Linked DNA regions of Ovis aries. The protein of the gene in region 1 purifies or fractionates together with the protein of each later gene. This does not show direct contact. Links are inferred from orthologs where the notes say so. Each region holds a gene or a part of one and is shown in the gene's direction. Other genes may lie near its edges.

Evidence for each region.
Region 2: the proteins of TRIM21 (region 1) and interferon-activable protein 203 purify together in Homo sapiens (affinity purification with western blotting; 3 studies listed by BioGRID, with this or other methods). This does not show direct contact. The link is inferred for Ovis aries from reciprocal best matches to the Homo sapiens genes TRIM21 and IFI16.
Region 3: the proteins of TRIM21 (region 1) and IRF3 purify together in Homo sapiens (affinity purification with western blotting; 3 studies listed by BioGRID, with this or other methods). This does not show direct contact. The link is inferred for Ovis aries from reciprocal best matches to the Homo sapiens genes TRIM21 and IRF3.
Region 4: the proteins of TRIM21 (region 1) and ANXA2 purify together in Homo sapiens (affinity purification with western blotting; 3 studies listed by BioGRID, with this or other methods). This does not show direct contact. The link is inferred for Ovis aries from reciprocal best matches to the Homo sapiens genes TRIM21 and ANXA2.
Region 5: the proteins of TRIM21 (region 1) and FASN purify together in Homo sapiens (affinity purification with western blotting; 3 studies listed by BioGRID, with this or other methods). This does not show direct contact. The link is inferred for Ovis aries from reciprocal best matches to the Homo sapiens genes TRIM21 and FASN.
Region 6: the proteins of TRIM21 (region 1) and GMPS purify together in Homo sapiens (affinity purification with western blotting; 3 studies listed by BioGRID). This does not show direct contact. The link is inferred for Ovis aries from reciprocal best matches to the Homo sapiens genes TRIM21 and GMPS.

Annotation. Positions count from the first base shown.
Region 1 is NC_056068.1:49,570,274-49,575,789, forward strand, and holds the start of TRIM21 (E3 ubiquitin-protein ligase TRIM21), read left to right. Parts: upstream 1-2,340; 5' UTR 2,341-3,043; intron 3,044-3,080; exon of another isoform or gene 3,081-3,212; intron 3,213-3,708; 5' UTR 3,709-3,744; coding exon 3,745-4,152; intron 4,153-4,644; coding exon 4,645-4,740; intron 4,741-5,516. UniProt on the Homo sapiens protein: E3 ubiquitin-protein ligase whose activity is dependent on E2 enzymes, UBE2D1, UBE2D2, UBE2E1 and UBE2E2.
Region 2 is NC_056054.1:109,958,488-109,963,332, reverse strand, and holds part of interferon-activable protein 203, read left to right. Parts: intron 1-1,054; coding exon 1,055-1,216; intron 1,217-2,701; coding exon 2,702-2,869; intron 2,870-4,845.
Region 3 is NC_056067.1:55,793,548-55,797,822, reverse strand, and holds the end of IRF3 (interferon regulatory factor 3), read left to right. Parts: intron 1-646; coding exon 647-833; intron 834-937; coding exon 938-1,318; intron 1,319-2,195; coding exon 2,196-2,311; intron 2,312-2,968; coding exon 2,969-3,136; 3' UTR 3,137-3,203; downstream 3,204-4,275.
Region 4 is NC_056060.1:48,022,667-48,027,286, forward strand, and holds part of ANXA2 (annexin A2), read left to right. Parts: coding exon 1-22; intron 23-1,339; coding exon 1,340-1,399; intron 1,400-3,065; coding exon 3,066-3,159; intron 3,160-3,824; coding exon 3,825-3,920; intron 3,921-4,363; coding exon 4,364-4,422; intron 4,423-4,620. UniProt on the Homo sapiens protein: Calcium-regulated membrane-binding protein whose affinity for calcium is greatly enhanced by anionic phospholipids. It binds two calcium ions with high affinity. May be involved in heat-stress response.
Region 5 is NC_056064.1:50,290,403-50,295,247, forward strand, and holds part of FASN (fatty acid synthase), read left to right. Parts: coding exon 1-21; intron 22-170; coding exon 171-374; intron 375-530; coding exon 531-681; intron 682-766; coding exon 767-945; intron 946-1,035; coding exon 1,036-1,155; intron 1,156-1,351; coding exon 1,352-1,474; intron 1,475-1,599; coding exon 1,600-1,823; intron 1,824-1,901; coding exon 1,902-2,103; intron 2,104-2,230; coding exon 2,231-2,382; intron 2,383-2,492; coding exon 2,493-2,584; intron 2,585-2,784; coding exon 2,785-2,936; intron 2,937-3,021; coding exon 3,022-3,264; intron 3,265-3,592; coding exon 3,593-3,781; intron 3,782-3,992; coding exon 3,993-4,223; intron 4,224-4,313; coding exon 4,314-4,534; intron 4,535-4,620; coding exon 4,621-4,719; intron 4,720-4,787; coding exon 4,788-4,845. UniProt on the Homo sapiens protein: Fatty acid synthetase is a multifunctional enzyme that catalyzes the de novo biosynthesis of long-chain saturated fatty acids starting from acetyl-CoA and malonyl-CoA in the presence of NADPH.
Region 6 is NC_056054.1:232,461,040-232,465,884, reverse strand, and holds part of GMPS (GMP synthase [glutamine-hydrolyzing]), read left to right. Parts: intron 1-921; coding exon 922-1,052; intron 1,053-1,982; coding exon 1,983-2,155; intron 2,156-3,420; coding exon 3,421-3,522; 3' UTR 3,523-4,845. UniProt on the Homo sapiens protein: Catalyzes the conversion of xanthine monophosphate (XMP) to GMP in the presence of glutamine and ATP through an adenyl-XMP intermediate.

The DNA of each region.
Region 1 (5,516 bases):
CTTGAAGCAATAACTTGTCCATTTGCTTGAAACCAAAGAAGAATTGATATATATGATGTATATGTATCACCTGATTTTATCTTACAGATAAAAAAAGATTGAAAGATTGATGACAACAAGTTATGGGTAGAAGTATACACTGAACATCTAAGATAGGGCCCAGAGTGAAAATGTTTTTGTCCTATGTGAATTTCCACCAAAGCACGTATAATGCAGAGAAGGCACCCAATAATCAGGTGAATAAGATGACCCATCCTGTCTGAATAGTCACTGGAAGGACTGATGCTAAAGCTGAAGCTCCAGTATTTTGGCCATCTGATGTAAGCAGATGACTCACTGGAAAGGTCCCTGATGCAGGGAAAGATTTGAGGGCAAAGAAGAGGGCATCAGAGGATGAGATGGCTGGATGGCATCACCAATGCAAAGACCATGAACATGGGCAAACTTCAGGAGATGATGAGGGACAGGGAGGCCTGTCATGCATAGTCCAGGGGAGCTGCAAAGAGACAGACATAACTGGGAGACTAAACAACAACAATCAGGTAAATAAGATGACCCATCTTGTGGATGTTGATCAGCCTCTTCTCAGTCACCTGGTGCTTATTCAATGGACTCTTGTACAAGTGTCCGTATCAGTAGTGGTAAATGGATAAACCCGAGGAATCCATACTCAAGCAGCATTTGTATTCCTACTGCTATAGAAACCTGTACATATAAGACCAACTCTGAGCCTGATTTTTCCCTATTTCTAAGAGAATCTAGGCAGTCTTTTAGTGGCATGATAATGACATTGAACCAACAGCAATTTATCCTCACAAAATAGCTACTATACCAGAGACAGATTCATTTGCCATCTTATATTGCTTCTACCAGCACCACTGTTTTTCGATTTACAACATCAAGGTCTCCAACAACATCACTTACAACCAAGAAACTGATTTTACAGTCAAAAAATTCTGATAATGGGGTTGCACTATGGAATGCAGTGGTCTTACAATGTACATCATCAACCAGAAAAAGATGGTCCAATAAAAATATGAGATGCACTGCTGAAGGCTCAGGTATGGCAGCAGTTTGGAAACCCCACTCTATGATATAAGAATGTTGTACCATAAATTCTGGTGCACATCTAAGATCAACAACTAATAGGTGATGGTATTTTTTATAGCCATTATAAACACACTCTTCAGAGAATAAAGAAGGGAGGTGGTTGCAGCTCCTATTTCCCTCAAACTAGTAACTCATTTACAGATCATTTTCTTTCCATCCCCCAACACAGGGCTCAGCCTTGTTCTAAGGGTCTAGTAAAGAAAGAAGTTCTTCCACCAGAGTAAAAACTCTGATTCTTATAAATAGGAATTTGCCACTACTCCCTGGCTCTTTGAGGTTTCTTGTGCTTGCTGCTGCTGCTGCTGCTGCTAAGTCGCTTCACTCGTGTCCGACTCTGTGCGACCCCATAGACAGCAGCCCATCAAGCTGCCCCTGGGATTCTCCTGGCAAGAACACTGGAGTGGGTTGCCATTTCCTTCTCTGATGCATGAAAGTGAAAAGTGAAAGAAGTCGCTCAGTCGTGTCCGACCCTCAGCGACCCCATGGACTGCAGCCTTCCAGATTCCTCTGTCCCTCGTATTTTCCAGGCAAGAGTCCTGGAGTGGGGTGCCCTTGCCTTCTCCGTTCTTGTGCTTAGTGGCTCAGTTGTGTCCGACCCTTTGAGACTCCATGGACTGTGGTGAAGTATACAACTGTGAACGTATTTAATGCCACTGAACTACACACTTGAAAACGGTTAAGATGGTAAATGTTATACGTACTTCACCATAATTTAAAATAATAATAAAACAACCTGAGAAAGTCCCTGGCTCAAGGATAAGTACACAGTTGTTGCCTCAATAAATGTCAAGTCCCTTCTTACCACTCACTGGTGTGATAATGCGCTGAGGTACTGTGGAATAAATTGCTCTCCCCCTGATGTTAAAAGAATATCAAGTCTCCTGAAAAGGAATTGTTTTTGGAAATAGGGAACAGAAGATGGCCTTTAGAGGAGACCTCCAGGCACCCCTGTCCATCCAAACCTCCTTTAAAGCAGCTCCCACACGAGGGCACAGCACGTAGGCCTGCATGGCTCCTCCACGCAGCAGATACGATGCTTCACTCTATTACACAATGAGGACACGGGAGGGAACGCAAAGCAAGGACTAAAGGCTGCGGAGCTTTCGCTCGCCCCAGCCTCCCAGAAGCTCCAGACTCTGGCGGCACCTCAACCCCTCCGCCTTCCTCCTCCCTTGGCCCCGCCCACTCTCCTCCCGCTCTGCCCGCCTCCCTTTCAGATTTGCGGTGGACAAGGAATCGAAAGTGAAATAAGGAAACGGCTGCCATCCACTGCGTCTCTTGAAAAGGTGAGTGAACTTGGCTAGACCGAGGTACCCCAGCTCTCCCTAGGGGACCTCTCTCCCCTGCCCCAGGTCTGAAGTGCCTCATCCAAGCCGTCCCCACCCCTAGAGATTTCGATCTCAGGTTTTCTTTCGCAACAGGTCTCCCTCAACCTTAACCCAGCAGTTTTTCCCCTGCAGCCTGGGAGGAGGCTGGGCTGTAAACCTGACTGGGATGTCCCCTGGAAGGAGCTCGGATTGCTCTGCTTCCGCCGGCACCTGAGCTGGGAAGAAAAACCAGGGAAACTGGGAGAACCAGGATGGCAACCTAGCTCAGGGGTGGTCCGGGAGCCCGGTGTGGGGGTAGGTCCGCGATCCCTGAGACTGCTGTCCCCAAAAGGCTCCCTCTGGAGGTGAGAGAGACAGGGTTGCTTAGGATATTAGAAAACTATGGGTCTGCGCCCTAGAAGAAACAAAGGCGGGGCCAGGTTCAGGGTAGCTGAGAGAAGAGCCCAGGAAGTTCTTAATAAACCTCACGCTTCTGTGTGTATGCACATACATATATACACACATATACATATGCGTGTGTGTGTGTGCTCAGTCGTGTCTGACTCTTTGCGACCCCATGGACTGTATGTAGGCCGCCAGGCTCCTCTGTCCACGGGATTTCCCAGGTAAGATACTGAAGTGGGTTGCCATTTCCTTCCCCAGGGGATCTTCCCAACTCAGGGATCAAACCTGCTGTCTCCTGTGTCTCCTGCATTAGCAGGTGGATTCTTTGCCACTTGCACCACCTAGGAAGCCCATGTACTTACGGATATACGTGTATCCTTATGAAAATATGTAAGCATAAATATAAATATTCTTATATATATTCATGTTACCGATGATTAGATAGATACCAATAACTCCTGCCTATTGCAAAGATTAATGAGAATGTATGTGAAGCATGTAGCACCTGGCACATGGAACGAGCACAGTCAATGGTCGCTACTGTTAAGATTAGCTTCTCAACAGAGTAGAAAACCAGTGGCCTGAGGCAGAAGATCAATAGGTAAAGCCTGGACTCTGAGCGGTTAAGCAGAGATGAACATGATGAAAGTCGAATTGTAAGCAGCTGTCTCTCAGGTTCTCAACAATATTTGCTATCTCTTGGGGACTCAGTGTCCCCTTCTGTCTGACTGGATCAGTGACCCAGACTATGGAAGAGGAGCACTATTCAGGTTGAGGTCCTTGTCTTTTCTTGTTTTCACTCCCTCCAGTTCACCCTCTCTCGTGGTTCCCTTTTCTTACCTGGCTCTTCTCTTCCGTCCCTTTCCTCTTCTCCCCTCACCGCAAGATCTCCCCAGCACTACCGAAGAGGAGCATCACCCCAATGGCTTCAGCCGTACCCTTGACAATGATGTGGGAGGAGGTCACGTGCTCTATCTGCCTGGATCCCATGGTGGAGCCTATGAGCATTGAATGTGGTCATAGCTTCTGCCAGGAGTGCATCTCTGAGGTCGGGAAAGAAGGAGGTAGCGTCTGTCCTGTGTGCCGGCGCCACTTCCTGCTCCAGAATCTCCGGCCCAATCGACAGGTAGCCAACATGGTGGACAACCTTAGGAAAATCAGCCAGGGTGCCAAGGAGGGCCCACACGGGGAGCTGTGTGTGGTGCACAGAGAGAAAATTCACCTCTTCTGTGAGGCAGATGGGAAGGCCCTTTGCTGGGTGTGTTCCCAGTCCCAGAAACACCGTGATCATCCCATGGTCCCTATTGAGGAGGCTGCTCAGGAGTACCAGGTGAGTCCTCAGCACAGAGGCAGGAACAGGTAAAAAGGAGATGGGGCCCTGTTGATGGCTTTGTTCCCCAGAGCTGGAAATGGGAGAGAGTTACCTGTGGGGCTGGGGAAAGAATAGGGGTCTCCTGCCTTCTATGTCTTATTTAAGGGGGAAATGGCAAGCTCAGCACAGTTTTCTCATTCTCACAGAGCAGGGATGTGCTATGGGAAAATGCTTCAAGAATCTTCTTCCCTTGTGGCCTCCTGCTTAATTAGGAACAAGCAGTGCCCCCACCCTTTGTACACCAACCGTGTGGCCCTATTTTGTAAGAAATATCAGGCTTTTTCCAAAACCTTCCCATCCACAGAGTTCCTACCCCAAACAGACTCTAGTCCTTCCTTGTCCTCTGCACTCAGCCTCTTCTAAGAACCAGTATGATCTTCCCCCCACTTCACACCACTGCACCCTACTTCTTGACCTGACTGGGTATCATCTTGCTTTCGTTCTCTGCAGGAAAAGCTTCAGGTGGCACTAAAGAAACTAAGAGATAAGCAGGAGATGGCTGAGAAGCTGGAATTGGACATTGCAATGAAGAAAGCATCCTTTAAGGCAAGAGTCATATCCTGAAGGGAATCTTAGATCTGAAGCCTGGGGAGGGTCCAGCTATGCCAGTCCCTATATCTCACTCCCCAAGAACCAGCTGCCCCATAGGTCTCTTGATGGAGGGGATTAAAAGAGTGTGGAGATCAAAAAGAGCTCCCAGTCAGATGGAGAGAGAGTCTTAGGAAAAGGTGCTGAGGGACAAGATATATTCTAATGCTCCTGCTTCTTGAGCCCAGTCTCTGGAGATGACAGCCCAGTCTCTGGAGATGGCCTCAGAGTTTGGGACAGGGGAATGCCAGGAGAGATGCCCAATGTCAAGAAATGACAAGTTGTCAAGAAATGACAGTGACTATGAGAACCAGATTTAAGTGAACCATAAAGGCCTAAGATGGGCTTCCCTAGTGGCTCAGATGGTAAAGAATCTGCCTGCAGTATTGGAGACCTGGGTTCAGTCCCTGGATTGGGAAGATCCCCTGAAGAAGGGAATGGCTACCCACTCCAGTATTCTTGCCTGGAGAATCCCATGGACAAAGGAGCCTGGCGGGCTACAGCCCATAGATTCACAGAGTCGGACATGACTGAGCAACTAACGCTTTCACTTTCAAAGGCCTAGGACAGGAAAGCCAGTCTGACCGGGTAGTTACTTGACCATGTCCAGCTCACTGGTCCAAAATGTAATGGAGAGCTACAGCTTGTTCCACCCCAGGGATTAGCAGGTGGGGTGGGCCAGGGACTAGAAAGGAGCAGAAGGAGCTCATGGCCAAGAGATCCCAGAAGAGGTA
Region 2 (4,845 bases), on another chromosome or scaffold:
CTGTTGCTGCCAGCCCTCCCCCACTTTGACTGTGTGAGTCATAACAAACTGTGGAATATTCTTAGTGAGATGGGAATACCAGACCATATTACTTGCCTCCTGAGAAAACTGTATACAGGGAAAGAAGCAATAGTTAGAACTGGACATGGAACAAGGGGCTGGTTCAAATTTGGGAAAGGAGAACCACATGGCTGTATGTTGTCACCCTGCTTATTTAACTTATATGCAAAGTACATCATGCGGAATGCCAGGTTGGATGAAACACAAGCTGGAATCAAGATTGCCAGGAGAAACATATAACCTCAGATATGCAGATGACATCACTTGTGGCAGAAAGTGAAGAGGAACTAAAGAGCCTCTTGATGAAGGTGAAAGAGGAGAGTGAAAAAGCTGGCTTAAAACTCAACATTCAGAAAATGAAGATTATGGCATCCTGTCCCATCACTTCATGGGAAATAGATGGGGAAAAAGTGGAAACAGTGGCAGACTTTATTTTCTTGGGCTCCGAAGTCACTGTGGATGGTGACCACAACCATGAAATTAAAAGATGGTTGCTCCTTGGAAGAAAAGCTATGACAAACCCAGATAGCATATTAAAAAGCCAAGACATCACTTTGCTGACAAAGGTCAAACCTATGGTTTTTCCAGTAGTCATATACAGATGTGAGAGTTGGACCACAAAGATGTCTGAGTGCTGAAGGACTGATGCTTTGAAATTGTGGTGCTGAAGAAGACTTTTGAGAGTCCCTTGGACAGCAAAGAGGTCAAACTAGTCGATCTTAAATGAAGTCAACCCTGAAAATTAATTGGAAGGACTGATGCTAAAGCTGAAGCTCCAGTACTTTGGCTACCTGATGCAAAGAGCTGACTCTTTGGAAAAGACCCCGATGCTGAGAAAGACTGAGGACAGGAGAAGTGAGCAACAGAGAATGAGATTAACTAGAATGAGTATAATTAGAATCTAGTAATAAAAAGTTGATTTTCTAAGTAGTGAAGATGTATTTCATTTCTCATTGAAAACTACTAACCAGGCAGGGGAAATCCTACTTTTCAGAGAAAGAAAACCACCGAAACTAGTGAATCTAAGAGGATGAAGCTAACCAAGGAGGAGAGTCAGCTTCCAGGATCATCAGTAACGAGCACAGAGTCAACTAAGGGCCTTCTCCAGACTCCTCAAATGCCTTCACCAAAGCCATCCAGCAGTTCCTTAACCAAGGTACCATTTTCCTGTTCCTAATACGTGTCCCTCCTTACAACATATTATAAGAATACTCATGACCCCGAAAAAAATCTCTCAGTATTCCCTTTCTAGATACAAACTTCTTTATGCAATCAAATCACCCCAAAACTTATCAAATAAAATATTGAGGCAAATTAAATAAATGAATTAAAAAAGTGTTGAGGTCTTAGTGTGTTCTAAGTCCTTGGACTTTTGGACATTTTTACATTTACGAATAATTGCTGACCTTACAAATGTGACAGGCCTATGGAGGTGGCCAGGCAATTAGACAGGAACATAAGGGTATGTTTATCCCCAACATTTCGGTTTCCTTTCATCCCTTTTCTCTTAACCACACCTCTAGATTAGTTCTCAGCATTCTATGCTCCTTCCTATGTCAGGTATTTGCTCATAGGCTAATTCCTTGATTCACACTCATGATTCATGTTGCTTTAATGGCTAAATTAATTCAACCATCAGGTACCAGCCTGAATTCCTTCCTCAGCATGTCCTCACTGAGACACCCCTCCCCAAAACTTATAGATAGTCTCATTTTTTATCGCCGTTACAGAATCCTTTACTATTCCTGTATAGTGTGTATCACAACTTTAATAAATTTGTTTTTCTTCTCTTCTAGACAATGATCTTGGAGTATAGGTGCTCTATCAAAAGAGAATACAAGACAGGGGTGGGAAAGTGAGTCCACAGTTGTAGGCATCAACCTCTATCCCAACCTGGTTTTTATTTTGCCCTGGGTTACATGAAACCTGGAACTATGGAGTATGTGTCTAAGATGAATGGGCAGGAAAAGATTCCCCCAAGATAAGTGTCAAGGGTAGGCAAAGGCAAGATTTAAACCACAATCTCTAACCCAGTTTCTTACCCAAGACCCAAGCTGCCCTCTAACTCAGGCTATATCCTCACCACCACCCCGCACATTCCACTTGAAGACAGAACTCCTACATAAGGGGACTTTAAATTTGTGGTTTTGTTGTGGTTGTTGTCATTGTTCTTATTAGTCACAAGAGTCCATATTTTTCCCAGTAATATTTCTCAGAAGATCAGTAGGTTTGTAGAAGCCTATAGAATAGATACTAGAAACCCACTTGTGTCTTTTCTTGATGAAAAAGTCGTAGTTAACAGACATCCTTAAGTGCAGCCAACTTTAGACTGAGATTTACTTCTCTTATAGCCAGGGAAGTTTATCTACTTGCTTTGGCCAGTTTGCATCAGATGTAGGACCCAGATTCCATCCCCAAATCAATGAAATTTTGTCTGAGCTGTTAGTATTTGGAGAGTGAAATCTGTAATCATAGTTGAGGTAGGTAAAGGATAAGTAATACAGGTATTGGAATATGTGCTATCAGTCCAGAAAAAATTGAAAAGTTCAGATTCAACATTGAGAAAGAGAAAAGATGCTATATTCTGTGTGATTTTGAAAATCATTTTCAAGAACTAAGAAAAAAATCTATTTTTATCCAGAAAAAAAGTGACACAGCCACCACACCTAAGGACTTAAAAAGGAAGATGATATCTTGTAACCAGAGTCAGCTTCCAGGAACTTCAGCAACCAGCTTGTGCCCAACTGTGAGCAGTGGCCAGATGACTCCAATTGTTCTACCAAAACCATTCAGCAATTTCTCAAGCAAGGTACCGGCTTTTTGATCCCATTCCTTGCACTTCTTACAAGAGAAGTACAAGAATTATCATCATTGAACTTCCCATTTAGTCATTTATTATACTTACCCCTTCATTTATCAGTGTTTAATCTGTGATCCCATTCTATTCTAACTCCTTGTTAATTTGGCTGTTTACCAAAGCATGAGTTCATGAAACCTCCAATTTTGAGAGGTTTACTCTCTTGTATTGAATAGAAAGAGGAGGGAAAGGTGACAAAACAAGTCAAAATGAGTGTGTCTTTACTTCATACATTCCACTTTCCTTTGGCCCTCTTCCCATTTGCTCACTGACCACATGGCAGGGTTCATTTTCAAAGTCCGGTGCTCCTTCTCAGGTCTGATATTTTGACATAGACACTTTTCATGTTTGAAATTACTTGTCTTGAGTTGCAAACTTTAATCTCTTCCTAGGGCAAGTCCCCACTGATACCTGCCCACTCTCAGAATATATTAGGTATTCCTCTTGCTTGCTTTCAAAGGTCAGTTTACTTTCCCTTTTTTAGCACTTACTGAAACTATAATAAATGTACATTTTTCTTTGTTACTGAACTATAATATAAATTATAAGGTGCCTGTCAACTGAAAAAATCCACAACCTAAAAGTTAAGAATTATGCTTTATTCAGCAGACAAATATGAGGACTTAAGATGGGGACACAGATTCTCAGGTAGCTCTGAGAGAGCTGCTCTGAAGAAGCAAGAAGGGGAGGCAGGTTATACAGGAATCTTGTTAACAAGGACCAGGCAGTCAGAACATCAAAATGTTACTGTTTTTAAAGAGAACCTGATGTCTCAAGTTAAAATTTAACACATTTTTATATACAGAAAGATGCAAAGATCTGGGCTCACAGACCCTTTGCTATAAAGTTCAGCTATCTGGGGCCAGTATCCTTACCCTGAGTCTCCTGAGGGGGCGCCGTCAGGATTGGCTGAAGCAGTTGACTGCTTGCTGGAGGGCATTTTGCTTCTATCCTGAGTTCCCTCAGGGCTTACAGTGTGGGCAGCTGTAATGCGATGGCTTGATGGCCACAACATCCTCAGTTTACTGATATGGCAGGCAGCGTTTTTCATTCATAGTGCCCTATTCCCAGGATAAGACCAGATCAGGGTGGAAAAATGACACACACACATGTGCATCGACTCCTATGCTCGCCTGCCTTTATTCTGTCCTGATATGACCCTTGTGGTTACCATCACGCTGGGGTACAACACCTATTCCTGCAGCAAATAAGCAAGTGACAGGAGAAATAGGCCAAAGCAACATTTAAATCACGAAAATAGCTTGTCACCCAAGTTCCAAGCTGCCTAGGCTGAAGCCCTCTATACGAATCCAAGCATACCAGTTGAAGACATTTCTTTTAACATAATTGTTCAAGTTTTATCGTGTTACTGTTTTTATTACTGTTAACTCTGATAATTAGTAATGCCTCACGTAGTCTCTGTTTTATTTATGGGATAGAGCTAGTAATCTGTGCCTGTTTGCCTCTAGGTCCAGATGGCCCTGGTCTAGTCATTGAAACCTTAGACCCACTGTCAGTCTGCTGTGACAATGACATGCATGTACACCACAAGTCAACTATGCTTTTCTATGCATACAGGCTTAGAATGGACACTTTCTAAGGTCCCATCTGCCTAAATTTGTGAAATAGTCATTTCTACTTTCATATGAATCATTCTGCTACCCCCCAAAATCCCTGGGAGCATAGGAATCCCAGAGAGCCCCATCTATCCCCTTGGCTTCATACACCTAAAAACACCTTGCAGTCATTTCTCCTTTGGAGCCCAGCCACTTCAATAGGAGGCATGGAACAAGAAGGATCTGGCCATTCTTCTGGGAAAGAGCAGGAAAGCATTGCTCCTTCATCAGAGGGTCTCCCAACTATTTTTTCTGTGATATAGGCTATGTTTGGGATTCAGAGACAGAAGCAGACCAATATTTTCTTTGATT
Region 3 (4,275 bases), on another chromosome or scaffold:
CCCATGGCTTCCCAGTGCCATCATCATGAGAAACTTCAGAGCTTTCACCAGGCATTCAAGGCCCCAATCCACCTTTCCAGAATTTGATAGCTTTCCTCCTTGTGCAGGGTTCTCTCAGCCTCTTGTGAGCTCAGAACCTCGCTATCCTTGATCATGCTGATGTCTGTGCCGGGGAAAGTCCTCTCTGAAATTCTACTGAGACTTCTCTGCCCAGGTCTTCTTAAAAAAGTATTTATCTGGCTGCACCAGGTCTTAGCTGTGGCATGCAAACTCTTAGTTGCAGCATGTGGGATCTAGTTCCCTGACCAGGGATGGGGCCCGGGCTGCCTGGATTGGGAGCACGGAATCTTAGCCACTGGACCACCAGGGAAGGCCCTCTGCCCAGGTCTTGCTTGCACAGAGCCGGTTCCTCAGGCTGGAATTAGCTGCTCCCCTTGGGCCATTGTAGTGCCAAGCATACACTCAAGCTGTCTGTCTTTTACTGTGCTGGTGGCTGTGTCTCCCCCAGGCTGGAAGCCCCTTGAGGGCAAAGCTCAGGTCTGTCTCCTCTCTGGGTCTCCACATGGCTGAATACAAAAGCTTGGTCAGTGGGAAGTCTCCAGAAAAGGCCATGGAAACACCTGGATCTTTATTTTTTCCTGTCCAGGAAGACATTGTGCAGAAGTTACTGAGTGACATGGACTTGAGCCCAGAAGGAGGGCCCTCGAATCTGACTATGACCTCTGAGAACCCCCCTCAGCTCTTACTGAGCCCCGAATCAGACATCCCTGCTCTTTGCCCAAACTGGGGACTCTCTGAAAACCCCCTGAAGCAGCTGTTGGCGAACGAGGAAGGTGAGTGCCAGCTACGGGCCAGGAGGGGCCAGGACCCGAGTTGAGAACACCCTTACACCTGCTCATTCTCTCTCCCCCTTCGCGTTATGGCTGCTGCTGCTCAGATTGGGAGTTCGAGGTGACTGCCTTCTACCGGGGCTGCCAAGTCTTCCAGCAGACTGTCTTCTGCCCTGGGGGCCTGCGGCTGGTGGGATCAGAAGCAGGGGACAGGATGCTGCCCGGGCAGCCAATACGACTGCCGGACCCCGCAGCGTCCCTGACAGACAAGAGCGTGACAGACTACGTGCAGCGTGTGCTGAGCTGCCTGGGCGGGGGGCTGGCCCTGTGGCGGGCCGGGCAGTGGCTCTGCGCCCAGAGGCTGGGGCACTGCCACGTGTACTGGGCCATAGGCGAGGAACTCCTCCCCAGCTGTGGCCACAAGCCTGACGGCGAGGTCCCGAAGGACAGGGAAGGAGGTGTGTTCAACCTGGGGCCCTTCATAACAGGTGAGTGAGGCAGGGCCTTCGCTTTGCTGTGGAAACAGGAGGCAACGGTGGTGAAAATCTCTGGGGTCAGGAGGTTGGAGGTGGAATTCAGACCCTGCGGCTCTGCTTGTGCTTGAACCTGGGGAGAAGGATGGACTGCTCTGAACCTGTGAAATCTGCAGACTGTCTCCTCCCTCTCCTTACCTGCCTGGAGCTGGCAGGGGGCTCAGGCCCAGCATACAGAAGCCACTCAGGGAATTAGCTGCCAGAGTCATTATCATTATTACCAACTGTGGTGGAAAGACAGATGCAGGAGAAAGATATCCCCTAGAGGCTTGCTATCCGAATAGACTTTGGTGCAGTGATGCAGATAGCACTGTATTTGCACTGCCCAGCTTCGTATCCACTAGCTGCATGTGGACGCTGAGTATTTAGATGTGAGTGAAAATGAAATGAATTTTAAGTTTTATTTGATTTTAATTAGATACAATTAAAACTTAAATAGCCATGGCTAATGGCTACATAGTGGACAGTGTGGCCTTGAGGGGTTAAAAAGCAGTCACCACCACTGATCTGGTCCTCCAGAACCACTGAGCATCCTTGGGGAGGAGAACGCCCCTCCTGGGCCTGTTTCCCCATCCAAAGGCTGGGGCTCTGGGCGGGGTGGGGTTCACCTTCCAGCCCCATCTTGATGCGAGGGAGGGAGGAGGAACATTTAAGCTTGTGCATAAGTGGAGGGGCTTTCCCCAAATTAACAGCCCCCAGTCATGGTGGCAGAGGTATGCCGGGCTTTTGATCAGGAGAGAAGATAAGGATGTTAATGAAGTTTTGGGGGAGAGGGGAGGGGCAGGTAGAAGGTCTTCTTCCCATCCCTGACTCTCTGTTCCTTGGCCCCCAGATCTGATCACCTTCACTGAAGGAAGCAGACGTTCACCACTCTATACCCTCTGGTTCTGTGTGGGGCAGTCATGGCCCCAGGACCAGCCATGGATCAAGAGGCTTGTGATGGTCAAGGTACTGCCAGCCCCAGGCTCCTGGAGCTGAGGGGTGGATTTTAAAAGGAAGGCTGCTTCCAGAAACTACAGCTCCCATAGTTCTTCTGGCAGTCTCTGCAACTGCCAGTTCTTCCTCAGGGGCTTCTGGGTGTCCCTCCAATGGCCTTTCTCCCAGAGCCAATTTTGAGTTCGCCCAACCATGTGGAAGTTGGTGGACTACAAATCCTAGCAGCCTGTGTGAGGTACTTCAGCTCCCAAGAGTCCTTCTGAGCACCAGCTGCTTCCCTAGCTTCTAGGAACCCCTTCAGCAGCCTTAACCTTAGTTTTTGTGGCCTCCCTTGGTTGTGGGAGAAGGGGACAACAGAGGATGAGACGGTTGGATGGCATCACCAACTTGATGGACATGAGTTTGAGTAAGCTCTGGGAGTTGGTGATGGACAGGGAAGCCTGGCGTGCTGCAGTCCATGGGGTTGCAAAGAGACTGACACCGCTGACAGACTGAACTGAACTGAACTTGGGTGTGAATATGGGGGAAACTACAACTCCCAGCAGGCCTGGACCTGGTTTATCCTGGGTTATCGTGGGGGATGCTGGGACTTGTAGTCTACTCAGCCCCATCCTGGGTAGTGGATGGTGTTGGGGTGTCTCCTGACAATTTCTCCCCCATCTCTCACAGGTTGTCCCCATGTGCCTCAGGGTTCTTGTAGACATAGCGCGGCAAGGGGGTGCCTCCTCCCTGGAGAACACTGTCGACCTGCACATTTCCAACAGCCAACCCCTCTCCCTCACCTCAGACCAGTACATGGCGTATCTCCAGGACCTGGCCGAGGACATGGATTTCTAGGACATGCTGGGGAGGCCTGAGCCCAAGCCCTTCACCTCGACCAGTAAACTGGTTCTGGCCATGGTCATCACTGTGTGTCTGGTATTCAGTGTCCCTGGGCCAGCCCTGACCCAAGCACGGGGTTATTCCTCCTTAAGGCCTGTTTATCCGCCCGTGCAAGCCACTCACGTCCTAGGTGCTCACGGCCTAAGGGCCAGGCACCGTGCAGGGGGCAGCTGATACTTTACCTCTCTTCTCTGGGACCTAGTGAGTCACCCCTGTTTTAGAGACCAAGACACTGAGTCTTGGAGAGGAACAAAGGTCACAAAATAGGAAAACAAGGTAGGTCAGAATCCAGGTCTCATTCTTAAAATGGCTGCTCTTTGAGGGTGGCCTTTGGGCTCAATTTGCAACGTCTATCTTGCCTATAAACAGTTCAAGCCAACGGCCAAAGGCAGAGACTCTGTCAAGAGCCTCGGGTGCCGCTCTCAACTCCTGCTGGGTGACCCAAGGCCAGTCCTTTCCTTTTCTGGGCCCAGGGCTCCCTCCGTGTGGGCCTGCAAGGGCCGGTTGTAAAGAAGTTCTGACCCACCCCCATGGGCTGGATGCCCCCACCTCACCTCATCACTCCTGGTTCTGGGTAACAGGGACTGATGGATGGGGGAGAACAGATACACATGTACGTATGGCTGAGTCCCTCTGCTGCCCACTTGAAACTATGCCAACGTTGTTAATCGGCTATACTACAATACAAAATAAAAAGTTAAAAAAAAACAAAAAAAAACACCTTTCCAATATCCTATCAACCCATCTGACACAATTCTATTTACTTCTAGTTAAAAAAAAAAAACAGGGGCTGACAGAGGCCTGACTTACTGTGTGGCCCTTGCTGGGCTGTGCTTCAGTCTCCCTCTATCTCGGGGGAGTCAATTAGATCACCCCAGCCTCAGGGAAGCAGGAGAAAGAATCCAACTGAATGGAGGACAAAGATCCGGTTTCTGGGGCAGTTCCAAAGCAGACAGATAGCAGCCAGTTGCCCTGAGCTGGGCAGACAGTGATCAGGTGGGTGGAGACCCCGCCCTCCCTCTCCACCCCAGCAACAGCTGGGGAGCTGCCAGGCCTGGTTCCAAGTGCTTCACCTGCCTTGGGTCTTTCTTAAT
Region 4 (4,620 bases), on another chromosome or scaffold:
GCTGATGGTCGCCCTCGCAAAGGTTAGTTTCCGGCTCGTTTCTTTGTCCTTGCTTCCTCCCAAAGCAAGTTACATACCTCATTTTATACTCGGGAGCGAATTAACTCAGTCCTCTGGGCCTGCATCAGAAATTCCAGCTGTATTTTGACAGTGGGTTTGCACTGTCAACTGCAGAGTTGTCATTTTTGTATAATAGGATTTCTTATCCTGCAAAACCGTATGGTCAGGTGGACTTTGGGGCCAGAGGTGGAAGAGGCAGCTCTTAGCTCCTGGCCTGGATTTCTGTGCCAGCCTTGTGACTTGGGGAAAGTCATTTTGCCTCTCTATGTTGTCACATAGGACCCAGTGGGAAGTGACCCTCTTGTTTCTTTCACCTGTTATAATTTCTTAGGGGATGGTTTGCCCAGGTAGTGGTTTGCCTGGGGAGAAGCTCTTTGCTTGTTTGCCAAGGTTAACACATTAATGTAGCTGAAAGGCACTTCCCTTCTAAGTCTGAGTTCTGACCCATGTGCAGTTTAATGACTCTGAGCGCTGCAAGGGAAGAGGAATTTTCATCCAGGAACCCTGAAGACAAGTGGGCACACTCCATCCTGGCCACCTACACCTCCATTCCGCCCTCCCCAGCTCCCTTCTCTACCACCTGCCCTGAGTCTGGTCACCTACCCATCATTTTGAAATCTACTTGTACTGTTTTACTCATACCCTGATCAAAACTCATTTCTGCTGTATCACATACAAACCCTCAACTGCCTCAGGCATCCTCTGTACCCTGGCCCTCCCTTAGTCTTCCTCCCCAGGCTTTCCCCCTGCTCACCTCACTCCTCTGAGACTTTCCTCTTGCGTGGGGCTTTCTCCCATTCCCCTGTACCACCCTCATCTGACACATCCTTTGGGTTTACCTCAGCTGTACCGCGTTGTCCATAGACTTTGCTGATGATACTACTTGACAGATTTCTCCCTTCTTTTGCATTTCACATCTGCTTAGAGCCACAGATACTTGGCTTTACCATTTATCCCATCCTTATTTCTCCTTCTGGATTGTGTGCTCTCTGAGGGAAGGAATTTAAATATCATTACCTTTTCAAGGGGTGGACAGAGGGTGGATTCTATAAGGTGCTTAGCCCAGGAATGGGTACCACAGAGGGTACAGCCCCCTACTTCACTGCCTCAATTGTAGCAATCCTTGGTCTTGCCTAGACTTTTAAGTGAAGAATAATTTTCAGAGGGTGTCCATTCAGTAAATAGTGGCTTACATGAGTTGGGGAGAAATCAACATTTTCAGTTTTAAAATGTACAAAGATATACATTTGATGTTCTTTCTCTCTTTTTTTTCTTTCAGGGTCGGAGAGCAGAGGATGGCTCTGTCATTGATTATGAACTGATAGATCAGGACGCCAGGGTCAGTGCCAAGCTTCTTGGTTTGATGTTTTGTTTCCTAGTCTCTGGATAGTCTTTGTAGTCATCTGTCCTGCGTAACAAATTACGTCGAAACTCAGTGGCTTAGAACCACAAGCGTGTATTACCCCTCAGTGTCTGTGGGTCAGGCACTGGGAAGTGGCTTGGCTGGGTGGTTCTGGCTCAGGGCTTCTCATGAGGTTGCAGACAAATTGTTGACCAGGGCTGCATCCTCTGAGGGCCTGACTGCATCAGGAGGCTGCCCGGATGACCCACCCACGTGACTGTTGACAGGAGGCCTTAGTGCCTTTCCACGTGAGCCTCGCTAAGGGGCTGTCTGAGTGTTCCCAGAGTGTGACAGCAGGCTCTCCCAGAGGGAGTGATCTGAGAGAGATAGCATCAGGAGGAAGCCAGGTGCCATTTAGGATGTGACCTCAAGAGCCCCACACTGTCACTTCTGCCACACTCTGTTCATCAGAGGCAAGTCCCTAGGTCCAGCCTCCAGACAGCGGGAGAGGAGGTGGGCTCCATGTTTGGGAGTGAGAAACGTCTAAGAACCTGTGGGCTTCATTTGCACTTTCTGGGAGCCATAGTTATACAACCTTCTAATGCCGGTGTTAGTTCCAGGATCAGCAGCTGACTCACATTTGCTCGTTCAAGCTTTGCTTGTATGGAGGAACCAGTTTCCGCAGGGTGTGCTACAGCTGCGCGCACTGGTGTGCAGTTGCTGCAAAAGAACCCTAATACAGTATACAACACACAGCAGTGGAAGGGGGTGGTAGAGGCGTGGCCAGGGACGGGGAAGCCCACTGCCCCGGGTGGTGGGGGAGAAGACGAGGGAGGCAGAGGTCCTTCCTTCCTTTCTGGCCAGATGAAACTCCTGCTGCTTCTCATCCCATAATCACTGAGAACTAGTTGGGAAGCTGATTCAGATCACTGTGAACTGCCTGCCTTTCCCAGAGGGTCGACAGATGTCTCAGTGTATTTCAGAGGAGCTGAAGAACAAGGTTAATTTTAATTCATTTTAGTTTTAAAATTCAGTATATTTCACACAGCACTTTTAGCAGAAGGTAGAAAAAGCTTTTTAATGAAGAAATGGAAGTTAGGCTTTGCAGCGCCCAGATAGTGGACAGTCACTCAATGAGTATTGGCTCCTGCGTAAGCCTTTCTCCCGCCTTCCTTGACATTCTTAGCATTACTTGTAGCCCGTAAATTTTCTAGAAACTGAGAATGTGGTTGAAGCAGCTTTTTTTCCCAGCTGTATCATTTTCTCAGTCTCTAAGAAGCCCAGGGTGGGCACCTGACCTGCAGCTGTCTTCAGTAAATGGAAGGGCCACATGGAGGCGAGCTGGAGGCGCTAGTGAGCATTGGCTTATCCTGTAGATGAGTAGAAGCTCTTGGTTCTTCCCTCGGCATTCAGGGAAGACTGGTTCAGCATCAGCCTCACAAACAACCTAGTCTTGTACTGCGTGTCCGTGCCTCAGGACGGAGCAAGACTTTGACACTGATCAAGAAAATAGCACATTTTTCCTGTGCCTGCCATGCCATCCTCTCTCATTTGGCACTTTGAAAGCGTAGATTTTTTCTTCTTTTGTGTGTGTGTGATGTGTTTTTAATGACCTTGCTCTCTGGATTGTGGGGTTCACTTTCCTGGCTGGTTGTGCTCACAGGATCTCTATGATGCTGGTGTGAAGAGGAAAGGAACTGATGTTCCCAAGTGGATCAGCATCATGACTGAGCGGAGCGTGTGCCACCTCCAGAAAGGTGGGTGCTGCTCTGGGGAGGTCTTAGAGTCCCGGGGCCCGAATGAAGGGCCCTCCCAGACGGGTCATTGCCAGCGGGTGTCTGTGTTGGGGCTCGGGTCTGCCAGAACAGAGTTCATTCTCCACTCTGTACCCTATGATCTCACGCATTTTTCCTCGCCAAACCCTTTCAACCTTCTCTCCCGTTTTGGATGCTTTTTTTTTCCCCTAAATATTTTCCATGTTTGGTGCCTGTTTGGTGGGCTGCCTCTTCTTGTCTAGGTCATTTTCTCTTGCCACATTTTTTGAAATAATGGACTTGGCTGGATGCTACATACTGGTTCTAGTAGCTTAGATAAAATAGGTGTCATTTTCTCTTGCCACATTTTTTTAAATAATGGACTTGGCTGGGTGCTACATACTGGTTCTAGTAGCTTAGATAAAATGGGTTCCACTCTATAGAGATGAAGATGGTCAAAATACACGCCCTGGGCTGTGCCATTCAGGACAGATGCATGGGAGGGCTGCCCCAGGGCAACTGGTGCAGTGTTGGCCCTGGTTCACAAGGCAGTCCCTAACCCCCAGAATGCTGTGATCATCTGTGTGTGTGTGATGTGTAACTCTGTGGGTCACCATTGACAGCTCTCTTAGTGGCTGTTACAATAATTGTTTGTTGCTTTTCTTTAGTATTTGAAAGGTACAAGAGCTACAGCCCTTATGACATGCTGGAGAGCATCAAGAAGGAGGTCAAAGGAGACCTGGAAAATGCCTTTCTGAATCTGGGTAAGCAAGTGCGCACACACACACACACATACACACACACACACACACCCCACCCCCGCCCCTGCCCCATCCTAGTGGACATCAGCTTTCAGTCCACTGTGCTGAAGCAGAGAAGTAATAAATGACCACCCTGAAAATTCGGGTGGCTTTGGGAAGTGTGACTTCTTTACATGTTGTAGGTAGTTTCATAATCTTCATCGTATGAATTTAAGATGTGGGACTGAAGACAGGGTTATGTTGGTAGGATGGAGAGCTGCCCAGGCAGAACAAGATAACCAGGGAAAGGGCTCTGTCCTTGGGGGCAACACACATATATGCGTCAGTTTCTATGGCCATCAGACTCCCCTGATTTGAAAGCACTCGGGGCTTTGGAGCATCCCCGGTTTTCCCTGAGCATTTCCCATTGTGCAGCCCATTTGCTGACCCTTTTCTCCTCCCCGCAGTCCAGTGCATTCAGAACAAGCCCCTGTATTTCGCTGACAGACTGTATGACTCCATGAAGGTAAGAGCAGCCTGCCGAGAGGCCCATGTTTCCACACTAGGCTTTCCTTTCTTTGTGGCCCAAACTAAGTCTCTGTAACTAACGGATGGCGGGAGAGACCTCAGGTCTAGGTGGCCACACTGGTCAGCTGTGCTTGCACCTGTCAGAGGGAAGCTGCAGTTGGACAGGCAGAAAACAAAGTGCCATGGGACGGAAAAT
Region 5 (4,845 bases), on another chromosome or scaffold:
GCCACTTCCCACTGGAACAAGGTGAGCCCCCCGGGACTGCCCTGCTCCTCCGGGTTCCTCGCCTCCCAGGTGGGTGGACTGAGGAGAGGGCAAGAGGACTCTGGCTGGAAGCCCTGCTCCAGGTCAGGGCCATGTGCGATCCTAGGGCTCCACTTCCTGTCACCCCCTAGACAAGCCCGAGGAGCAGACGGAGCACGCCTTCATAAATGTACTCACACGAGGGGACCTGTCTTCCATCCGCTGGGTCTGTTCCCCTCTGCGCCACAGCCAGTCCACGGGCCCTGGCGTCCAGCTCTGCACCATCTATTACGCCTCCCTCAACTTCCGCGACATCATGCTGGCCACGGGCAAGCTGTCCCCCGACGCCATCCCAGGTACAGGCAGCCCACAGTAGGGGCACCAGAATAAAGCCCGCCCCTCCCCGGGGCCAGGGCCTGGGATGAGAGGGGTCCTCGCCCCGCAGTGCTCAGGAACCTGGGAGGCTCCTCCCAGTGAGATCAGGGGCTCACTCACCCGCCATCTGCTCCCAGGAAATTGGGCCTCTCGGAACTGCATGCTAGGCATGGAGTTCTCTGGCCGAGATGCCAGCGGGAAGCGTGTGATGGGGCTGGTACCCGCCGAAGGCCTGGCCACCTCCACTCTGGTGCCTCAGAGCTTCCTGTGGGACGTGCCTTCCAACTGGTGAGTCACCAGGGCTGGGACCTGGGGCCCGACGTGGACGTGGCCAGGCATCAGGCCAGAGCTGATCCCTGCACTGCGCCCTTAGGACCCTCGAGGAGGCCGCCTCGGTGCCCGTTGTCTACAGCACAGCCTACTACGCGCTGATTGTCCGCGGGCGCATGCAACCAGGGGAGACCGTGCTCATTCACTCGGGTTCTGGCGGCGTAGGCCAGGCTGCCATCGCCATTGCCCTCAGCCTGGGCTGCCGCGTCTTCACTACTGTGGGTAAGCCTCCAGCTCTTCCCAGAGCCCAGGACTGTCCGCCTGGCAACGCTGCCAAAGCCCAGACTCACCAGGTGTGCCTCTCTCTGCCAGGGTCAGCCGAAAAGCGGGCATACCTCCAGTCCAGGTTCCCCCAGCTCAACGAAACCAGCTTTGCCAACTCCCGGGACACATCCTTTGAGCAGCATGTCCTGTGGCACACAGCCGGGAAGGGTGAGTGGTCCCCATCACCTACCACCCACTATCGACCTGTATCCTCGGCCCCTTCTTCCTTCCATCCCCCACTCACCAGCCAAGCTGGAGGAGACGCTGGCCCATGCTGGGACAGGGTCCAGCCCTTCAGACTTGTGTTAGGTTAGCCGGGCTGTGATCTTCACTATGGGGACCCTGCTTGCTCCCCTCTCCCAAGGTGTTGACCTCGTCCTCAACTCCCTGGCGGAAGAGAAGCTGCAGGCCAGTGTGCGGTGCCTGGCCCAGCATGGTCGATTCCTGGAAATTGGCAAATTTGACCTTTCCAACAACCACCCTCTGGGTGAGATGGGGCAGCAGGCCTGGTGGGCGGCTGGGTGGGCAGGGGGCTGTTGGCAGAGTGGGGATCTGCAGGGTGGGGGGTTGTGGGCTATGTGGTGAGGCCCCCCTGCCCGCCCACCTGTCCAGGCATGGCCATCTTCCTGAAGAACGTGACTTTCCACGGGATCCTACTGGACGCACTCTTTGAAGAAAACAGCACCATGTGGCAGGAAGTGTCATCGCTGCTGAAGGCGGGCATCCGGGAGGGTGTGGTACAGCCTCTCAAGCGAACAGTGTTCCCCAGGACCCAGGTGGAGGACGCCTTCCGCTACATGGCCCAGGGCAAACACATCGGCAAAGTGGTCATTCAGGTGAGTGGGGTGCCCTGAGGGTCTCTGGCCCCTGCCCCTGCCAGCAGTGCGTGAACAGGGGCCCTGCTTGGGCTGCAGGTGCGTGAGGAAGAGCAGAAGGCAGTGCTGCACGGGACCAAACCCACCCAGATGGCGGCCTTGTGCAAGACCTTCTGCCCAGCCCACAAGAGCTACGTCATCACTGGGGGCCTGGGTGGCTTTGGCCTAGAGTTGGCCCACTGGCTCGTGGAGCGAGGGGCCCAGAAGCTGGTGCTGACCTCCCGCTCTGGGATCCGCACAGGTGAGTGGCCCGAGGGTGGGGCAGTGGGAAGGGCCTTCTTCAGACCCCTTTATGGTGCTCTCAAGGCACCTAGACTTGGGACCAGACCTTCATTTGCCCATCCCTTCCCACTGTCTGTGTCCCACAGGCTACCAAGCCAGGCAGGTCCGTGAGTGGAGACGCCAGGGTGTGCAGGTCCTGGTGTCCACCAGAGATGTCAGCTCACTGGATGGCACCCAGAGGCTTATCACTGAGGCCGCCCAGCTTGGGCCCGTAGGAGGCGTCTTCAACCTGGCCGTGGTGAGGACGGCTTTAGAGGGGCTGGAGCCGGCTGCCCAGGGAAGGGCCCCTCCCAAGAAGCCCTCCAAAGGCCTGGGGCCGAGGCAGGTGCTAAGATCCCCTCACCCCAGGTCCTGAGAGACGCCATGCTGGATAACCAGACCCCTGAGTTCTTCCAGGACGTCAACAAGCCCAAGTACAATGGCACCCTGAACTTGGACAGGTGGGCTCCTCCCTTCTCCTCTCCCTCCTTCTCCCTGCACGGCCCTCACACTGGTGACCTGGAGACCTGGCCATGGGCCTCTGCTGGGGTCTGACCGCAGGTCCAGGGAAGGGGAGGCAGTTTGGTGGACAAGCAGGAGTCCTGGGCATGACAGCCGGTGGGCTGGGGAAGCCGGCTGGGGGTGACTTAAGAACCCACAGGGTGACCCGGGAGGCATGCCCGGAGCTGGACTACTTCGTGGTCTTCTCCTCGGTGAGCTGCGGGCGTGGCAATGCCGGCCAGACCAACTATGGGTTCGCCAACTCCACCATGGAGCGCATATGCGAGAAGCGTCAGCACGACGGCCTCCCAGGTGGGCCCACCCACCACTCCCCGACTCGCGCGGTGCCACCCTCACAGCTACCCTGACTCACCGCGGCACCACTGCCCACCCACAGGCCTCGCCGTGCAGTGGGGCGCAATTGCTGATGTGGGCATCCTCGTGGAGCTGAAGGGCACTAACGACAAGGCCATCGGCGGGACACTGCCCCAGCGCATCACCTCCTGCCTGGAGGTGCTAGACCTCTTCCTGAACCAGCCCCACCCCGTCCTGAGCAGCTTTGTGTTGGCAGAGAAGGCTGCGTCCCGTGGCCCCAGCGGCAGCCAGCAGGACCTGGTGAAGGCCGTGGCTCACATCCTGGGTGAGGCAACATCCTGCCCCCTCCCCACCGGCAGCCACTCCCGAGTCTGGTCTTCCAGGCTGCCAAAGGGGGGCGTGCTGGGCTTGCTCATGGAGAGAGAGGCACAGGCGGTCTGCAGAGCTGGGTGGGGGCTGTGGGTCCCGTGGTACAATCTGTTCAGTTCAGTCGCTCAGTCGTGTCCAACTCTTTGCGACCCCATGAATCGCAGCACACCAGGCCTCCCTGTCCATCACCAACTCCCGGAGTTTACTCAAACTCATGTCCAGGGTACAATACCCACCCAGGGCCCCTCCCGCATTGCCAACTGAGCTGCCTCCTCACCCCCCAGGCATCCGTGACTTGGCCACCATCAACCCGGACAGCTCGCTTTCAGACCTTGGCCTCGACTCACTCATGGGTGTGGAGGTGCGCCAGACGCTGGAGCGTGAGCGCAACCTGACGCTGTCCATGCGGGAAATCCGGCAGCTCACCATCCGCAAGCTGCAGGAGATTTCCGCACAGGCTGGCACGGCTGATGGTAGGTATGGAGAGGGTGTCCCCGAAGCAGCACTGTCCGCTCAGGGCTCTTGGCCTCCAAGCAGGTCAGGGCTGGTCCATCTGGCCCCTTCCTGAGAGCCCTCCTTGGGCCCCCAGTGCCCTGGCCACCCGCGGCCGACAGGTGTGCGTGTCTGTGTGTTTGTGGCAGGGGACCCTATGGTATCATCCCTGGTATCTGCCCCTCTTCACAGAGCTGACGAACTCCACACACAAATTGAGCAGCCCTGCCCAGTCGCAGACGCAGCTGAACCTGAGCACCCTGCTGGTGAACCCCGAGGGCCCGACCTTGACACGGCTCAACTCGGTGCAGAGCTCCGAGCGGCCCCTGTTCCTGGTGCACCCCATAGAGGGCTCTACCACCGTGTTCCACAGCCTGGCCGCCAAGCTCAGCATCCCCACCTATGGCCTACAGTGTACAAGAGGTATGTCAGGGGCCTACTGGGCTGCCCCCCAGGGAGTTGGGGGTGGCAAGGCACCTGCAGACAGGGCTAAGCCTCATGCTGTGCCCACAGCGGCACCCTTGGACAGCATCCAGAGCCTGGCTGCCTACTACATCGAGTGCATCAGGCAGGTGCAGCCAGAGGGGCCCTACCGCATCGCCGGCTACTCTTACGGGGCCTGCGTGGCTTTCGAGATGTGCTCACAGCTGCAGGCCCAGCAGAGCGCCGGCCCCACGAACAACAGCCTCTTCCTGTTTGACGGCTCCCACACATTCGTGATGGCCTACACTCAGGTGAGGGCGGCAGCAGACGGGAGTCCCCGGGTCCGCAGGCCCAGCCCTTGTACCTGCCACTGCAGCACCTCCTCCTCCCTTTGCAGAGCTACCGGGCCAAGATGAACCCCGGCTGCGAGGCAGAGGCCGAGGCCGAGGCCATGTGCTTCTTCATGCGGCAGTTCATGGAAGCGGAGCACAGCAGGGTGAGTGGCCCGGCCTCCCGATGCCCCGGCGCTCCCCAGCGCCACTCGCTCACTGTCCTGTCCTACAGGTGCTGGAGGCCCTCCTGCCCCTCGGGGATCTGGAGGCGCGTGTGGCAGCCACCGTCG
Region 6 (4,845 bases), on another chromosome or scaffold:
TCTGGAACTCTCTTGCTTTTTTGATGATCCAACGGATGTTGGCAATTTAATCTCTGGTTCCTCTGCCTTTTCTAAAACCAACTTGAACATCTGGAAGTTCACGGTGCACGTATTGTTGAAGCCTGACTTGGAGAATTTTGAGCATTACTTCACTCGCGTGTGAGGTGATGCAGTTGTGCGGTAGCTTGAGCACTCTTTAGCATTGCCCTTAAAACCTATTTATTTAATCATTTTCCCCCAGGCTTTTGTGCATTGATTTCCTAGAGCTACCATAACAAATCACCACGGACTAGAAGGCTTAACACAATAAAATTCTATTATGTCACAATTCTGGAGACTATAACTCTGATATTAAGGGTGATGTCAGCAGGGCATTGCTCTCTCTGAAGGGTCTAGGGGAGAATTCTTCTCTTCATAGTTTCTGATGTTTGCTGGTAGTCATTGCCTGGAGACAGTCGAACTCCAGTCTTCATCTCCATCTTTACATGGCCCTCTCTTCTCCATGTGTCTGTCTTTCCAGATTGCCTTTTGCTTAGAAGGACACCCACCTATCATTGGATTAGCCTTCTTCCCCCCGCCCCCACCCAAATTATGACCTTTATTCGATTACATTTGCAAGGACCCTGTTTTCACCCCCAGATTCTAGATGAACATGAAGTTTTGGGTATACTTTTCAATCCAGTATGTTAAATGGAAAGAGGATTGTGATAATCAAGTTTATCTTCACACTAGTATTTCAGAGAATGTATTTTGAGGAAGGTTCAGACAACAGCTACCTTCTATAATCCTGTCCTTCCCATTGGGGATTTGAAGTGGGTAAGAGATGGGCCTAAGAACAAATGCAGAGAATGTTATTTTATGTGCTTTGTTTCCTCATACTAAAATGTATTTTCTTTATAATTTTCACTTCCTTCCTTCTAGAGTTGTTTATATATTTGGCCCACCAGTTAAAGAACCTCCTACAGATGTTACTCCCACTTTCTTGACCACAGGGGTACTCAGTACTTTACGCCAAGCTGATTTTGAGGCCCATAACATTCTCAGGGAGTCTGGTAAGTTGCCCATTTTGTTCATTACTACATGCTTCAACTAGATTTTGAAAGCTTGGCTTTATGATTTTTAGTAGGAGGATTCAGCTTTTAGTATTCCTATTTGATTCTGTGGGTAGTTCTGTGACATTGCCTTATCCATATAGAACTTACTCATGTTTATGGTCACTTGCAGACATGCACAAAGTGACAAAACTTGAGTTGCTCAGCTCAGATGTTCCCAGTTGAGGTTGAAGATGGCAGTCCTCTGTCTTGTTTCAGCTCTGTTTCTGTTAACAGGTGTCTTTTTTGTCGTCTATTTAATGCCATGTTGTTTTGCATTTTCATGCTTTTTGTTGGTGATTTCACTGTTTAAAAATGTCCTCTAAGCTTAGTGCTGAGGTGCTGCTGACTAGGTTCCTAAGCACAGGAAGACCATCATGTGCCTTACTGAGAAAATAGGTGTGTTAGATAAGCTTCCTTCAAGCTAGAGTTACAGTGCCATTGGCTGTGAGCTCACTGTAATGAATCTACAATAGATATTGAGTAAGGTGTCTTTAAACAGAAAACACATAAAGAAAGGTTATATATTGATCAGTTGATGAATATGTTATGACTAGAGGCTTGCAAGACCCTAATTCCGTATTCCCTCTAGGGTTAGTGGCTCAGCATTTTCTTATTCAGTGTTTGCAGTATAGAAGATAATTATATGAATAATGAATTGACTTATATGTATAGCATATCACTGCATTCATCAGACTCTGTAATTTGTATTTGTGATTGCGTTTGCTTACAGTGCTATGAGAGTAGCTGAATATAGTACATGATGACAGTCCTAAGAAGAGGTGTGTCTGTGTGTGTGATTGTAGGTCCTGTCTGGAAGGATTTAATTGAACTGAGAGTGCTTTCCTATGGCGTGGTAATTGATTCTACATGTTAACTTCCTTTCCCTAGGGTATGCTGGGAAAATCAGCCAGATGCCAGTGATTTTGACACCTTTGCATTTTGATCGGGACCCACTTCAGAAGCAACCTTCTTGCCAGAGATCTGTGGTTATTCGAACCTTTATTACTAGCGATTTCATGACTGGTATACCTGCAACCCCTGGCAGTGAGATCCCCATAGAGGTAATAGATACATTTTTTTTCTGATGTACATATTTAATACCTTAACATTTTATAATAATGGTGAATGGGATAGGCTGTGGCAATGTTGATATTTCTGAGGTTGGTTTTCTGTTCATAAAATAGGCTCTAATTTTTTAAATCTCCACATAATTCATTATTTAATACATTATAGTAGGAAAAGGCCCTAAGTATATTACCTCTCTTCCAGATGTCTGATTACTATGTGGAGACTCCCAACTCTAATCTATCTTTTTATCTAATCGTGCCAACCTCTGCCTTATAAATAATGTCCTCCAAGTAAAACAGAAAACCCTAGGAGTGAGGAAGGAAGAGTCAGTTAGATATAAGATACAGCATTATGGCCAGGCACCCATGAATTTCTTCATGCTCTGCCAACTAGCAATTACAGTTTTGATCATCTTCTTTCTTGTTATCCCTGCACTAGAGTGTTGTTTCCAGAGGAGCTGTTTCTAAGATAGCAAGTAAAAGTCAAAGCAAGACTTTATTAGTTGTACCACTGTTCCAGGACTCTAATACAGGGCTCTGATTATATTACTAGCTAGTATAGAAATGTGGTTTGGAGAATGTGGCTTAGAGTCTATTTTCCCTTAGGCTTGCATTTGCCCAGCCTCTGGCCAGTTAGGTGACAAGGCCTTCCTCGTCTATACATGTAGCAGTGATTATTATTACCTGTGTTATTTGCCACCGTAGTGGCCTTGGAGTTGTGAGCCGCAGAGAATCTGTGAAGCGTTGTCTTCCGCACGTGAAGTCTCATGCTTGAATGCTGCAGCAGTGTCAGGTTGCTATAGATGCTTCTAAACATTTGCTGTGGACCAGTAACACCCATGACTTGCAGACTGCATGAGTACTGCTGAATTTAAGTCACTTAAATCTGTGGAGTCACTGCGTAAATTAATCATAAATGTATCCCATACACCTAGAAAGTGAAAGTTGCTCAGTCGTGTCTGACTCTCTGCGAATCCATGGACTGTATAACCCATGGAGTTCTCCAGGCCAGAATACTGGAGTGGGTTGCCATCCCCTTCTCCAGGGGATCTTCCCAATTCAGGGATCAAACCCAGGTCTCCTGCATTGCAGGTGGATTCTTCACCAGCTGAGCCACAAGGGAAGCCCATATATATAGAGAACAGTGGTAAAAATAGATTGTGTTTTAATTTGAAATTACAAATGAAATTACAGATTCTAGCTCTGTTAAACATGCAATGGACCCTAGCTCTTTATTTATAATCTTTATTTTATAACAGGTGGTGTTAAAGATGGTCACTGAGATTAAGAAGATTCCTGGTATTTCTCGAATTATGTATGACTTAACATCAAAGCCCCCAGGAACTACTGAGTGGGAGTAATAAACTTCTTGTTCTACTAAAGTTCCGTGTGCAGTTTAAATTGTTTAGAAACCATTCCCAGTGTTGAATGCAGTACTGTTAAAAGTGTTACTGGAGCAACCACATCACATCTGAATTCTCTGCAGCAAAAGTCTACGGCTTAAGAGCTGAGCTGGGGATAACTAAAAGGGACTGAAGAGTTTGTACGGGTATAATCAAAGCACCATTGCCTACACTCAGACAGACTGACACTGCTTTTGCCTTTACCTCTGTCTCACTTGTTCGTTATGTATAAATTCACTGTTTCTATTGATGTGTCTGCAATCAAAGATGTATGGAAGTGGGTGAATTTGGGGGCTGGTAGTAGACTTCTGTCCCCTTGCCAGTTTCTAAGAGATGTTAGAAACACCATTATTTACCAATGTGACTTAGTATGTATACCTTTTGGTGAAACTGAATTTCCCTGTAAGTAACTTTATTCCTCCATGAAGGGGTCAACATATCAGATAAAGATATGGGTGGGCTGTCCCACCCACTTTTGCAGGACACTGGGACCATAAAATGGTAAGCTACCTTAAGATGGAAAAGCACCAGGAATTTGTTGAAGGACTTTGGGTTTTATGTCATTGCAGTCATGGGAGGAAGGAACTGTGTATGGTCGCCATTTAAAATGTTTTCACATCATGCTCCATGTTGCGCTCTGTCAACCTGTTCATTAGTAAGGAGCTTTATCCTCCTAGTCTTATGTTGCAAGCTCGCATAGCCTTGTAGAGGAAGGAATTTTCTGTTCTGTCCACAGAAGAGACTGTCTTTGGGTCTAGTGTAAAGTTCGAGCATTTTTATCTTGTTTGGCCAGAGTGAAGCTCTGAGATCACAGAAACCATCATGCATGCCCGCAGCTTACAGATGCATGCCTGCGGTTTACATAATCTAGTAAAGAGCTGTAAAATGAACTCTCGGTGTAATCTATAGATATTTTTTTTAATGCACTGCTCAGAAGATTGTGACCTATCTTGGCCCATGCCAAGTATTGCCAAACTTTGTACTTCTTTCTACCAGCTGTAAGAGAACATTCAAGAACTGGTATAGGACTTTTTGCCATTGCCACCAGTTTCTAACAGATGCTTTTATAACATTCATATATGCACTATAAAAATAGACAGTACTAGATTTGAATTTTACAACCATTTCTCTCTCAATATTTTAGTTGATGTTACTGTTTTAAAATGTTACCTTGTATTTTCTCATACGAATTCCATCTCAAGTTGCTGCCTCTTATGTAGTCTTTAAGATTTTCTGTATTAATCAGCTATACAAATTTGTTTGGAATCAATCCACTGTTAG